Linked DNA regions of Caenorhabditis elegans. The protein of the gene in region 1 interacts with the protein of each later gene in a biochemical or structural test. Each region holds a gene or a part of one and is shown in the gene's direction. Other genes may lie near its edges. The genes, in order: lin-39 and tra-1.

What was found.
Region 2: the proteins of lin-39 (region 1) and tra-1 form a complex in vitro, tested with the Caenorhabditis elegans proteins (one study listed by BioGRID).

What each region holds. Positions count from the first base shown.
Region 1 is NC_003281.10:7,533,611-7,538,681, reverse strand, and holds the start of lin-39 (Homeobox protein lin-39), read left to right. Parts: upstream 1-2,049; 5' UTR 2,050-2,092; intron 2,093-3,981; coding exon 3,982-4,281; intron 4,282-5,071. UniProt on the Caenorhabditis elegans protein: Transcription factor.
Region 2 is NC_003281.10:11,191,924-11,197,007, reverse strand, and holds the start of tra-1 (Sex-determining transformer protein 1), read left to right. Parts: upstream 1-1,806; 5' UTR 1,807-1,944; coding exon 1,945-1,965; intron 1,966-2,047; coding exon 2,048-2,143; intron 2,144-3,905; coding exon 3,906-3,966; intron 3,967-5,076; coding exon 5,077-5,084. UniProt on the Caenorhabditis elegans protein: Plays a major role in controlling sexual phenotype. Terminal global regulator in a well-characterized cascade of sex-determining genes. Promotes female development. Interacts with tra-2 to promote spermatogenesis.

The sequences.
Region 1 (5,071 bases):
CAAACCTTACCTGTGTTCTTTTAAGTGCGGGTCTATTTTCTGACAAGCTTATTTTAATGTTTCGAGTTTTTGAGAATTTTCGAGCTTTGAGTAAAAAGTTTCCACTCATTCTGAAGTAGACGTATAATCTAACATTCTTGATATGGCAGACAGTCTAGAATCTAGTTTAAGACTTTTTTCAATCAGAGAATTAAATGTTTTACTATATTTAGGGTTAAGTTACGCTAAAGTTTCCAGATGCTTATATTCTAGATCTTTTGAACCCTTTTCGTTTGACTTTTTCAGATATAGTTCATAACTCCAATTTTCCAAACTCGCTACCTCTTTTCTCATTTTTCACCAGGCATCCCCCGGTGGTTCAATTTCCTTTCCTTTCATTTCTTTTTTGTCTTATGCTTCAATGTATTCATTACTTTTCCCTCTTTTTCTCGTCATTTGATTAATGAACTTCCTACTGTAACTCATTCTATCTCGTTTCTGTTTGCACTAGATTGGAAGACCAAAAAAAATCAAAATGAGGAATTGTCGAACATCAATTTGTAAAAGAGAGAAGATCCCTACACTTCTTCAACCTATTTTTTCTTGATTCGTGTACCTACAAATGAGTAATTGGATGCCATTCATTCCACACTTCTTGATGCTTCCTGACACTCATAAATCACTGTAAAAGAGACAGGAAATAGACTTGAGTCAATTGCATAATCACTTACTAATCATTTACTCACTTTTTTTTTTTATTTATTACCACAGTGTTATGCAATTCTTATCTCCTTATCTATACTGTGAGAGGTGTGAGGATATTGGATCATTTATAGATTGAGAAAACTGATAATGAAATAAAAAATGTGATGTGTTTGGGTTATTTCCTTTTATAGTACATTATCATGTGTTGTGGCTCTGAGAATTTGTAATTCTCTATGTACTGTTAATTTGAAAATTTTATTTTAATCAAAAAATTAAAAAAGACTTTCAAAGTTAACAAAAGTAACACATTTTAAGTTTTATAAATAGTTTAAATATCTCTGTTTGCATGTTTACAGTAGGGAACTTCTAGAACTTTATTCTTTCATTTTGTAAGAGGCGTTGGAATCAATTCAGTTGCAGTTGGCATTTCTGAAACCTCAAGTTTCGGGAACTTTTACTTTTAAGAACAAGGTGAGGCACTGCTGGAAATCTCGAAGCAATTTCAGATGCCTTGCAAAATCTTGAAAACATATTAAGCGTATGCTTCAGTTGTAGACTTTTATATTTAGGTATCTTGACAATTCCAAAAAATAGTGTTTGGTGTCGACCAAGTATTGATAACATTTAATTTAGCTAGAAATAGCTAGAAGCTTAAATTTTTAGAAAATCTGATCAATGACCTAGAAAAACTTCAACGTTTTTCAAAATTCCCATAACGCCGTTTTAAAATTTCACAGAAATTCGTCTTTTGGTCATTTGAACTTTTTGTGCATACCAGGCATTTGGCTCAAAAAGCGGACTATCAGATGTTGGCAAAAGTTGGTAAGAGCTTTGACAATACTTGTCTTAGACTATGTTGTCGAAACCTTGCTCAATTTCTGCTCAAGTTTTAGCCCAAAGCCGAGATACTCTCCCTTTTTGCCATTTTTCCAATTTTCATGTAACAATTCCATATCTATAAAATCAGAGAGTTCATAAAATTGAGCACATTTCGACTGACTCTTGACAACTTGTCCAATGGGAAAAAGTTGGTCAAGATTTTGTTCCTAAAAGCGGCAACTTAAAAGCGAAAATTCATTCTGCTCAACTCTTCTACTCTTGGAGCCCAAAAGCTTACGGTACCTGTCGTTCTCACCCCATGTCCATCCAGCGCTGTCAGTGATGAATTGAAAAGGCGAGAGCAAGAGATGTGCTCTCGGCTCCACGAACCTCTTTGATCTATGCCGACAGTGGGGGAGATTGGAGAAGAAGCATGCTCCACCCTTCACGTGTATCAGTACGTCTGCGTCTTCTTGTGCGTGCCGCCCGGATTAGAAGACATGAAGTGGGAGGGCGATAGAGGAAATTCCGATGGCAATACCAACAATAGAATTTTGGCAACATTTTTTTACGACCTTCTAGAATTAAGGTAAATCTCTCTTTTTTTAAATCCACTCCTGGCACAAAGCTTCTCAAAGTTCTAAATGAAACTGGAACTTAACTTTAAATAAGTTGAACCTAGAGGTCACCTGAAAAAGTTATAGGAAAATTCTCTACTATTTAAAACGTAGTCTTTAAATTTTGCAAGTTATGTACTTCAAATATCAATTTTCCACCTTTGTGGCAGAAAACGTTTAAAATCTAGTTTATTTCGGAACCCTCTTATATTTTCGCAAAGTTATCGACTAAATTTCAGTATTTGAAACATTTTTAGATACTCGGCTTTGGCTTCTGCTGTTTTTTTTTTGTTGTAGGAATTTATTCAAATTACCTGCGTTCCGAAAAAACATTTTATGTTGCATTATTGGAGAATATACCATTGAAAAATTGAAAACATATCTGGAAGAAATGAGCCCAGATTAGATGTTGCACTTTATGAGGCGTTGCGAAGGCGCCTTTTTACCGTGTTCCCGTTATTCTGCCGATCATTTAAATAAATTGAATCTCACCCTCGTTTAATTTGTGAATCATAGAAGAAAACAAAATGTAATCTTACTTTAAAAAAGCTATTATCACAACTTTAAATTATCCAACTTAAAAGCTTCATTGTCAGGTGTGTGCGACAAATCTACCGAAATTGCTGAGTTCGTCAAATTTCGAGGATTGCCCACAGCCTCAATATTTCTGAAATTTCATTTTGTAATCAGTAGTCACATAAATATTCAAGACATGGAGAATGTGTGGAATAGTGTTAGGTAACATTTCAGAGCTTAGGCCTACAGAGAAAACACATAAAGACTTCTAGTCCATACTTCTTCTTGACCTCATAGATTGCTTACTAGTTTATATAAAGCTATTTAGAGCAATTATCCAATCTTATAAGGTAAAACCCGCGGGTCTTAAACCATGACCACCCACTTGAGCACACCCACAAAAACAATTCGTCTCTCGCAGATTGCTCCTCAATTTATCACCATCATCTTTTCTCTCTCCATTTCCAACTCTTTACTTTTCTTCTCTTTTTGTTCTGTTTCCGTTCTTAAGCTTTTGTTGTTTTCCTAGTTTTAATGATTTCCTAAGGATTAGGTACAAGTAGTTGATAGGTTGATCTAATTCCTTTTGATGAATGCAGTAATTAAAAAAAACAAGGTTCTTAAATTAAAATTTAAAATCTATCAAACGGTAATTATTGCTAATTCGTGTTCTGAAATTTATTGGTTTCAATTATATGTGCCCAGGAATTTTAATAAATTTTAAAGCTCTGATCACCTGTAAAAGAAATTGATGGTTGCTGAAAGTTCTTCAAAATTTTAAGAACTGAATCATCGTATTTAACTTTTGTGTTGAAAATTTGGGCTCTTGGGAGATATTGATCCGGTCATTGATTGCGATTGTACACGTATCTCTGAATTCTAGACTAGCAGCACAAATTGTTAGTTTTCTTGCTCTCACTACAATTGTTCAAATTTAAATACCTATTCTACTAGTTATTCGGTTTTTGAAGATATGTAGACTTTAGGAATATCTGAATGATCTACTTCAATGAAAAAAATTTGATCTCTTTTTTTAACTACTGCATTCATCTCTATCGTCCTCTTATTCTATTCCCTCATCCCTTCCGCTTTCTGAGACTCCACCCTTCGTCCAATAGGAGAAATGGGCGGGATCGGGGAAGGATGGCGCCCGGTATTCTGTCTCTTTTGCAATGGAAGAAAAGAGGAGAAAGAGGGAGACGTCACATTTTTAACAAATGTTCAACCGCCCCGACGCGCCTCTCGTCCTCATTTATTATATCACCTCGTTTCCCCTCCCTCCCCTCATCTTTTCATCTCTTTTCAATCAATTCTTATCAATCACTTTCACTCGTTTTCACTCCAGATGACCACATCAACATCACCGTCATCCACAGATGCACCGAGAGCTACAGCTCCTGAATCAAGCTCTTCGTCTTCATCCTCATCTTCTTCATCATCATCCACATCTTCTGTGGGTGCATCTGGAATTCCATCATCTTCTGAATTATCGAGTACAATTGGATATGATCCAATGACAGCGTCTGCTGCACTTTCTGCTCATTTTGGAAGTTATTATGATCCGACTAGTTCTTCTCAAATTGCTTCATATTTTGCCTCAAGTCAAGGACTGGGAGGTCCTCAATATCCAATACTCGGAGATCAGGTTAGTTACGAAACTTTAAAGGTAATTTTTAAAACAGTATTATATTTAAAAAAAAAACACTACAAATTTAAGTAGATGAAATGATATTTTAGAAAAGTTCAGCAATTTCGAATTTCGTAATCTTTTTAAGTTCTCTGAACGTCACCATACTTTAAGCAAGAGTTGGAGCGTTATAGTTAGGAAGCTCCTCTATTGGCAAAAATTAAATTTGTGTAAAATTTTAATAACTAAAATAGTGTGTGATTCGGGATAATTAAAATAAAGGAATGCTCACAGATTTATAGAAAGTCACAATTTTTTATTTGCCGCACTTTTGACAACCTTCAAATAATTCTAGTTTCTGCAAAGCGCTGAGACCGATTTGGTTAACTTTTGCTAATCGAATTTAATTTCTGAAAACAAACCATTTTGAAAAATAAACAGGTGCTCAGAGACAATTAGTTCTTGAAACATTTCGGGTCCATGTGGAATTTAAATTTCTTGAAAGTTTTTTTTTATTTCATCTGTTTTTTTTTAATTCAAAAGTTCTAACACCCTTTTGGCGCCTCCCACTGGTTTGAAACTTCTGTCATTTCCCGCCAAAAATTGAAAATCAATCAATTCCTCAGCGTTTCTGAAAATAATCTGACAACGCGATCAATTTTATTTTCTCTTTTGAAGTGAGTGGACTGGCGCCTGGTGACTACCATTGGAAGAGTAGGAATTGAAATAAAATTTATGAGAACGAGTTACAAAATGGAGAATAAGAGGAAGAAGAGTATTCAGATTGAGATTAATGATCGTTCCATCG
Region 2 (5,084 bases), 3.7 Mb from region 1:
ATTTAACCTAAAAACTAAATACTCAAAAATTAAAAAAAAAAACTAATTGCCGTTCGGAAACGGCAAATCGGCAAACCTTGCCGATTTGCCGGAAATTTTCAATTTCTCCAAATTGCCGATTTGCCGTTTGCCGGATATCAATTTGCCGAAAATTTTTAGACAGATTTTTTATAAGACGGAAACTCGTAAGACTGTGCCTTTTTGAATTTTTTTCCCGTTTTCTTTAGATATTTTCATAGAGTTTGCTTACAATTTTCAAAAAATTTCCGGCAAATCGAAAAAATTGCCGATTTGCAGGAATTTCTCATATCCGGCAATTGCCGATTTGCCGGATATCAATTTGCCGGAAACTCTTAAAACTGTGCCTTTTTGAAGTTTTTCCCCGTTTTCTTTAGATATTTTCATAGAATTTGCTCAAAAAATTTCCGGCAAATCGAAAAAATTGCCGGTTTGCCGATTTGCCGGAATTTTCATTTTGCAAAATGCCAATTGGCCGTTTGCCGATAAAAAATTGTTTTCCGCCCACACCTGATTTGAATGTTAAAAGCGGAAAAATATCACACAAACGCGATTATTAGCGATTTTTTTCCGCGAGAAATACGGTACTCGGTCTTGGCACGAAAATTTTTTTCTTGAATGCCAAAAGGTTTTGCGCCTTTAAGAATTACTGTACTTTGAAACTTTCGTTGTTCCGGTATTTATTATCAATTTTTGAAAATGTATTATTTATTTATTTAAAAACTAACAATAAACACTGGGCAAAAAAAAAACTCCAAAAAAAAATGAAACTACCGTATTCTTTAAAGGCGCACACCTTTTTGCATTAAATTTCAAAATTTGGCGAATAATAAAAAAAACTACAGTCGCCTCAAAGAAAATTTAGAATATTTTCGCAACATTTTTTTCCATTTTTAGACGAAATTTACTCGAAAATTCCAGAGTTTTTCAAAAAATCCCAATTTCGCCTTCCTACCGTAGTCCAGCGCGGGAATTCAAAATTCTCACGTTCCACCGGTCTCCCTTATCAATATATATCATCCTCCCAATCACTTTCACTGGTTACTTTTTCAATTTCCCTTTTTTTGCGAATTTCCGTTCGCGAAAACGAAAAAATTCCAAAAAAAAAGACCGGTGGCTATAGATACAGTACTATTCCCCCTCTTCTCAACATTTTTATTTTTTTCTTACTTTTTCTCGGCGCTGGCGCCTAGTGCCCGCGGTGGTTTTGAGACTTATTATCAGTTTTTTATCAGTTACGCCACCAATGTACGGCGTCTCTCTGTCTCGTATGCTATTTTCGCATCGCCAAGGGGGTTAGATGTTCTTCTCTCCTATGTATATGTGCTATCAGTCGAGTACTGAAAATTGTGCACGGTTTTTCAAAAAAAAAAACCACCCAAGCCTTGACTCCTTTTTTGTCGTTGTTTTTTCTGGAAAACTCAAAATATTTGTTCTCCATGTTTTTAGCGGGTCTCACCACGATCGTGCCGAGACCCACCCGACAATTAATTTCTCTGCGCCGTTATTTGAAAATTTTTGGCTCCAAACTTTCAAATTGAAAAAGTCATGTATTTTTATATTTAACAGTTCCCAATTTTTTACTGATTTTCACTGAAAAATTGGCGAATTCTCATTCAAAAAGTTTTTAAAATTAATCGAGCCTTACTGTAGTTTTAAAGGAACATGCAGTAATTCTTGCGATGGGTCTCACCACGAACTCTATTCTTTGAATTTTAAATTTAAATTTAAAGATTTTCTTCTCATTTTTCTGCCTAATATCCTTCAAATCTATTGATTTTTTTTGCAGAGAATGTGCCAGGAGGCTCGCCACGTCATCTTCTAAATAATCAACACTATTTGGAGCATCAAGAGCCCCCGCGTCAAGCAATTTTCAACGCAACTCTCCAAATTCAACAGGAAATCAAAAACAACGAAAACGGCGGCATGATGGCCCCCAGTACTGAGGTTAATTCGAGGAATTTTGAATTAAAAAACTAATTTTTACAATTTTCACATTAAAAATTCGTTAAAAATCAATTCTCTCCAGGATCCCGATACGGTTGTCGAGGCTCAACGTCGTGGAAGCTTCTCGAAGAAAAAGAATGCAAATGGGTGGAATAAGGTGGAGCTTGTCGATCAGTGTGTAAGTTTGTGAAGCTGAAAAAAAAATCCATAAAAATCGAACATTTCTAGCGAAATCCCGGTATCTCTACCGCAAAATTCGTAGATTTTTGGAAAAATGCACATTTTTCAGACAAAAACTTTTCGAAAAAGCAGATTTATCACAAAAATTTGAGAAAAATCGAATTTTCACGTACCAGGAGTGGTTTTCCGGAAAAATTCACCGAAATTCGCTTAAAATTGAACTGAAAACGTCCGAAATTTCAATTTTTTGTTGATTTTCCCACTTTTTAAGCTTTTTTTTCAAACCTAACTGTATTTTAAAAATTTAGCCTTATTCAGAATTAAATCAGAATTAAAGAATTAAATTCAAACTTAAAAATTTTAAAAATTCGAGTTTGACAACATGTTGAGCTTGAAAATCGCAGTTTTAGGCTTAGGCTTTTAGGCTTATAATTAGGCTTAGGCTTATGCTTAAGCTCAGGCTTAGGCTTAGGCTTAGGCTTGGGCTTTTAGGCTTAAACTTAGATTCAGGATTAGGCTTTTAGGCATAGGTTTAAGCTTAACCTTAAGCTTAGGCTCAGGCTTAAACATAGGCTTAAGCTGAGGCTTAGTCTCAGCCTAAGGCTTAGGCTTAGGCGACGGATTAGGCTTAGGCTTAGGCTTTAGCATAGGCTTAGGCCTAGGCTCAGGCTCCGGGGAAGAGAAATTCCTAGAAATTCCTTTAAAAAACCCAGGAAAAACGACAAAAATCTGAAAAAAATGGGGCTTTCTGTAGTCGGGTCAAAAAAATGCATGTCTAGGCGTCTAATTTCAAAAACACTTCCAAAATATTATTTCCGGCAATTCCGGCAAGTACCCCGCACCCCTGAATCAGGCCTGCCGGTTTTTTTTTTCAAATTTTGCTCATTTTGCTCAAAAAAAAAACAGACCGAAAATTGAACATTTTTTCGGCGGCACCCCGGACCTTTTTTCTGCGGTCCTATAAAAACACGTGGTGCCAGACTGTCCCATCACGTTTTGTTGATCTACGAAATTGCGGGAATTTTTTGCCCAAAAAAATAACACGTTCTTAACCATGCAAAATCAGTTTAAAAGTGTGCGTCTCTTTTCCCGCATTTTTTGTAGATCAACGTAGATCAAGCCGAAATGAGACACTCTTACAGCACTTGTAAAAATATAAAAATCGATTTTCCCTCGAAAATCGCCAAATTTTCCCGCCAAAAACTTGTCGATTTTCTCGTCTCTGGGTTGTCCAACCGTGAGAATTTATATTTTTCTTCTTCTTCTTCTCAATTTTCTCAGCTCTACATGTTTCTCATTTCCTTTTTCGGGTTCATATCACCACCGTTACCTCGTCTAGACCGCCCGAATATTTCTGCTCCTCTGATCATCGAACACTGCTCCGCCACTACTTTTTTTTCGCTGGGCGCTGTTGCTGCTCCTGCCACGTCGTTTTTTTTTTCCGCTCGACTGATAAGGAGTTGTTCTATCCAAAATTCGAGAGACAGAGAATTCCGATAAAAATACATACATATTATTTTGAAGTTCTCGTGCACTTTTGCTCTTACACTGGCACCGCCGAGCACACCCCCGCCGCGGTTGATGAGGAGGTCAGAAAAGTATAATTTGGGTCTTAGCACGCCCTGAAAATGCAAAAAAATATGGATTTTTTCAGTCAGAAGCTCATTTTTTAGGGGATTTTATCTAGAAATTCCCTAAAATTTTGGGCCCTTTCTGGATTTTCTCATGAATTTTTTAAATCAATTTTTACAATTTTCCAGGCCAAGCAAATGGGTTCGGAGGACAAACAACCTGGTGGTGGCGACGTGAAAACCGAAAATGGTACGGGAAATCGCGCTCCGTTGAGAATGACCGCGCGATTCGGCGGCAATTTGAATAGTTTTAACGAAAAAAAATGCGGAAGAAATTCGCATTAGAGCGCATTTGCACCCACATTTTTTCTTTGAAAATCGCCCGATGGAGTCGGATGGACCACCCGTTTTCAGCTTTTCTAGAGAAATTATTCAGTTTTAGACCAAAAAATTCCACAGAAAATAGAAAATTCCACAATTTATAAATATACATTTATTAGAAAAAATTTTTGAATTTAAAAAAACGGGCGATTTTCGACTCTAGACACCGCCTTTTTTCAAAAATTTTTGTAATTTTTGGGCAAAAATGGCTCGGCAAACCGAATTAAAAAATTTCCGGCAAATTGGAAAATTGCCGGAATTTAAAATTTCCGGCAAATCAGCGAGTTGCTGAAATTTGAAATTTCCGGAAAATCGGAAATTGAAATTTCCTGCAAATTGGAAAGTTGCCGGAATTTAAAATTTCCGGCAGATCGACAAATTGGCAGAATTTGGAATTTCCGGCAATTCGGCAAATCGCCAGAATTTGGAATTTCCGGCAATTCGGCAAATCGCCAGAATTTGGAGTTTCCGGCAAATCGGAAAATTGCCGAAAGTTGAAATTTCCGGCAAATTTGCGGAATTGAGGATTTCAGGCAAATCGGGTGAAATTGGCAGAGTTGAACATTTCCGGCAAATCGGCAGAATTTGGAATTTCCGGCAATTCGGCAAATCGCCAGAATTTGGAATTTCCGGCAATTCGGCAAATCGCCAGAATTTGGAATTTCCGGCAAATCGGAAAATTGCCGAAAGTTGAAATTTCCGGCAAATTGGCGGAATTGAGGATTTCAGGCAAATCGGGTGAAATTGGCAGAGTTGAACATTTCCGGCAAATCGGAAAATTGCCGGAATTTAAAAATTTCCGGCAAATCAGAAAATTGCCGGAATTCGAAATTTCCGGCAAATCGGAAAATTGCCGGAAGTTGAAAAATCCGGCAAGTTTTCGGAACTTAAAATTTCTGGCAAATCGGAAAATTACAGGAATTTAAAATTTTCGGCAAATCGGCAAAAATTTCCATTTTTCACCACTTTTTTTTTGCAGATCCATCA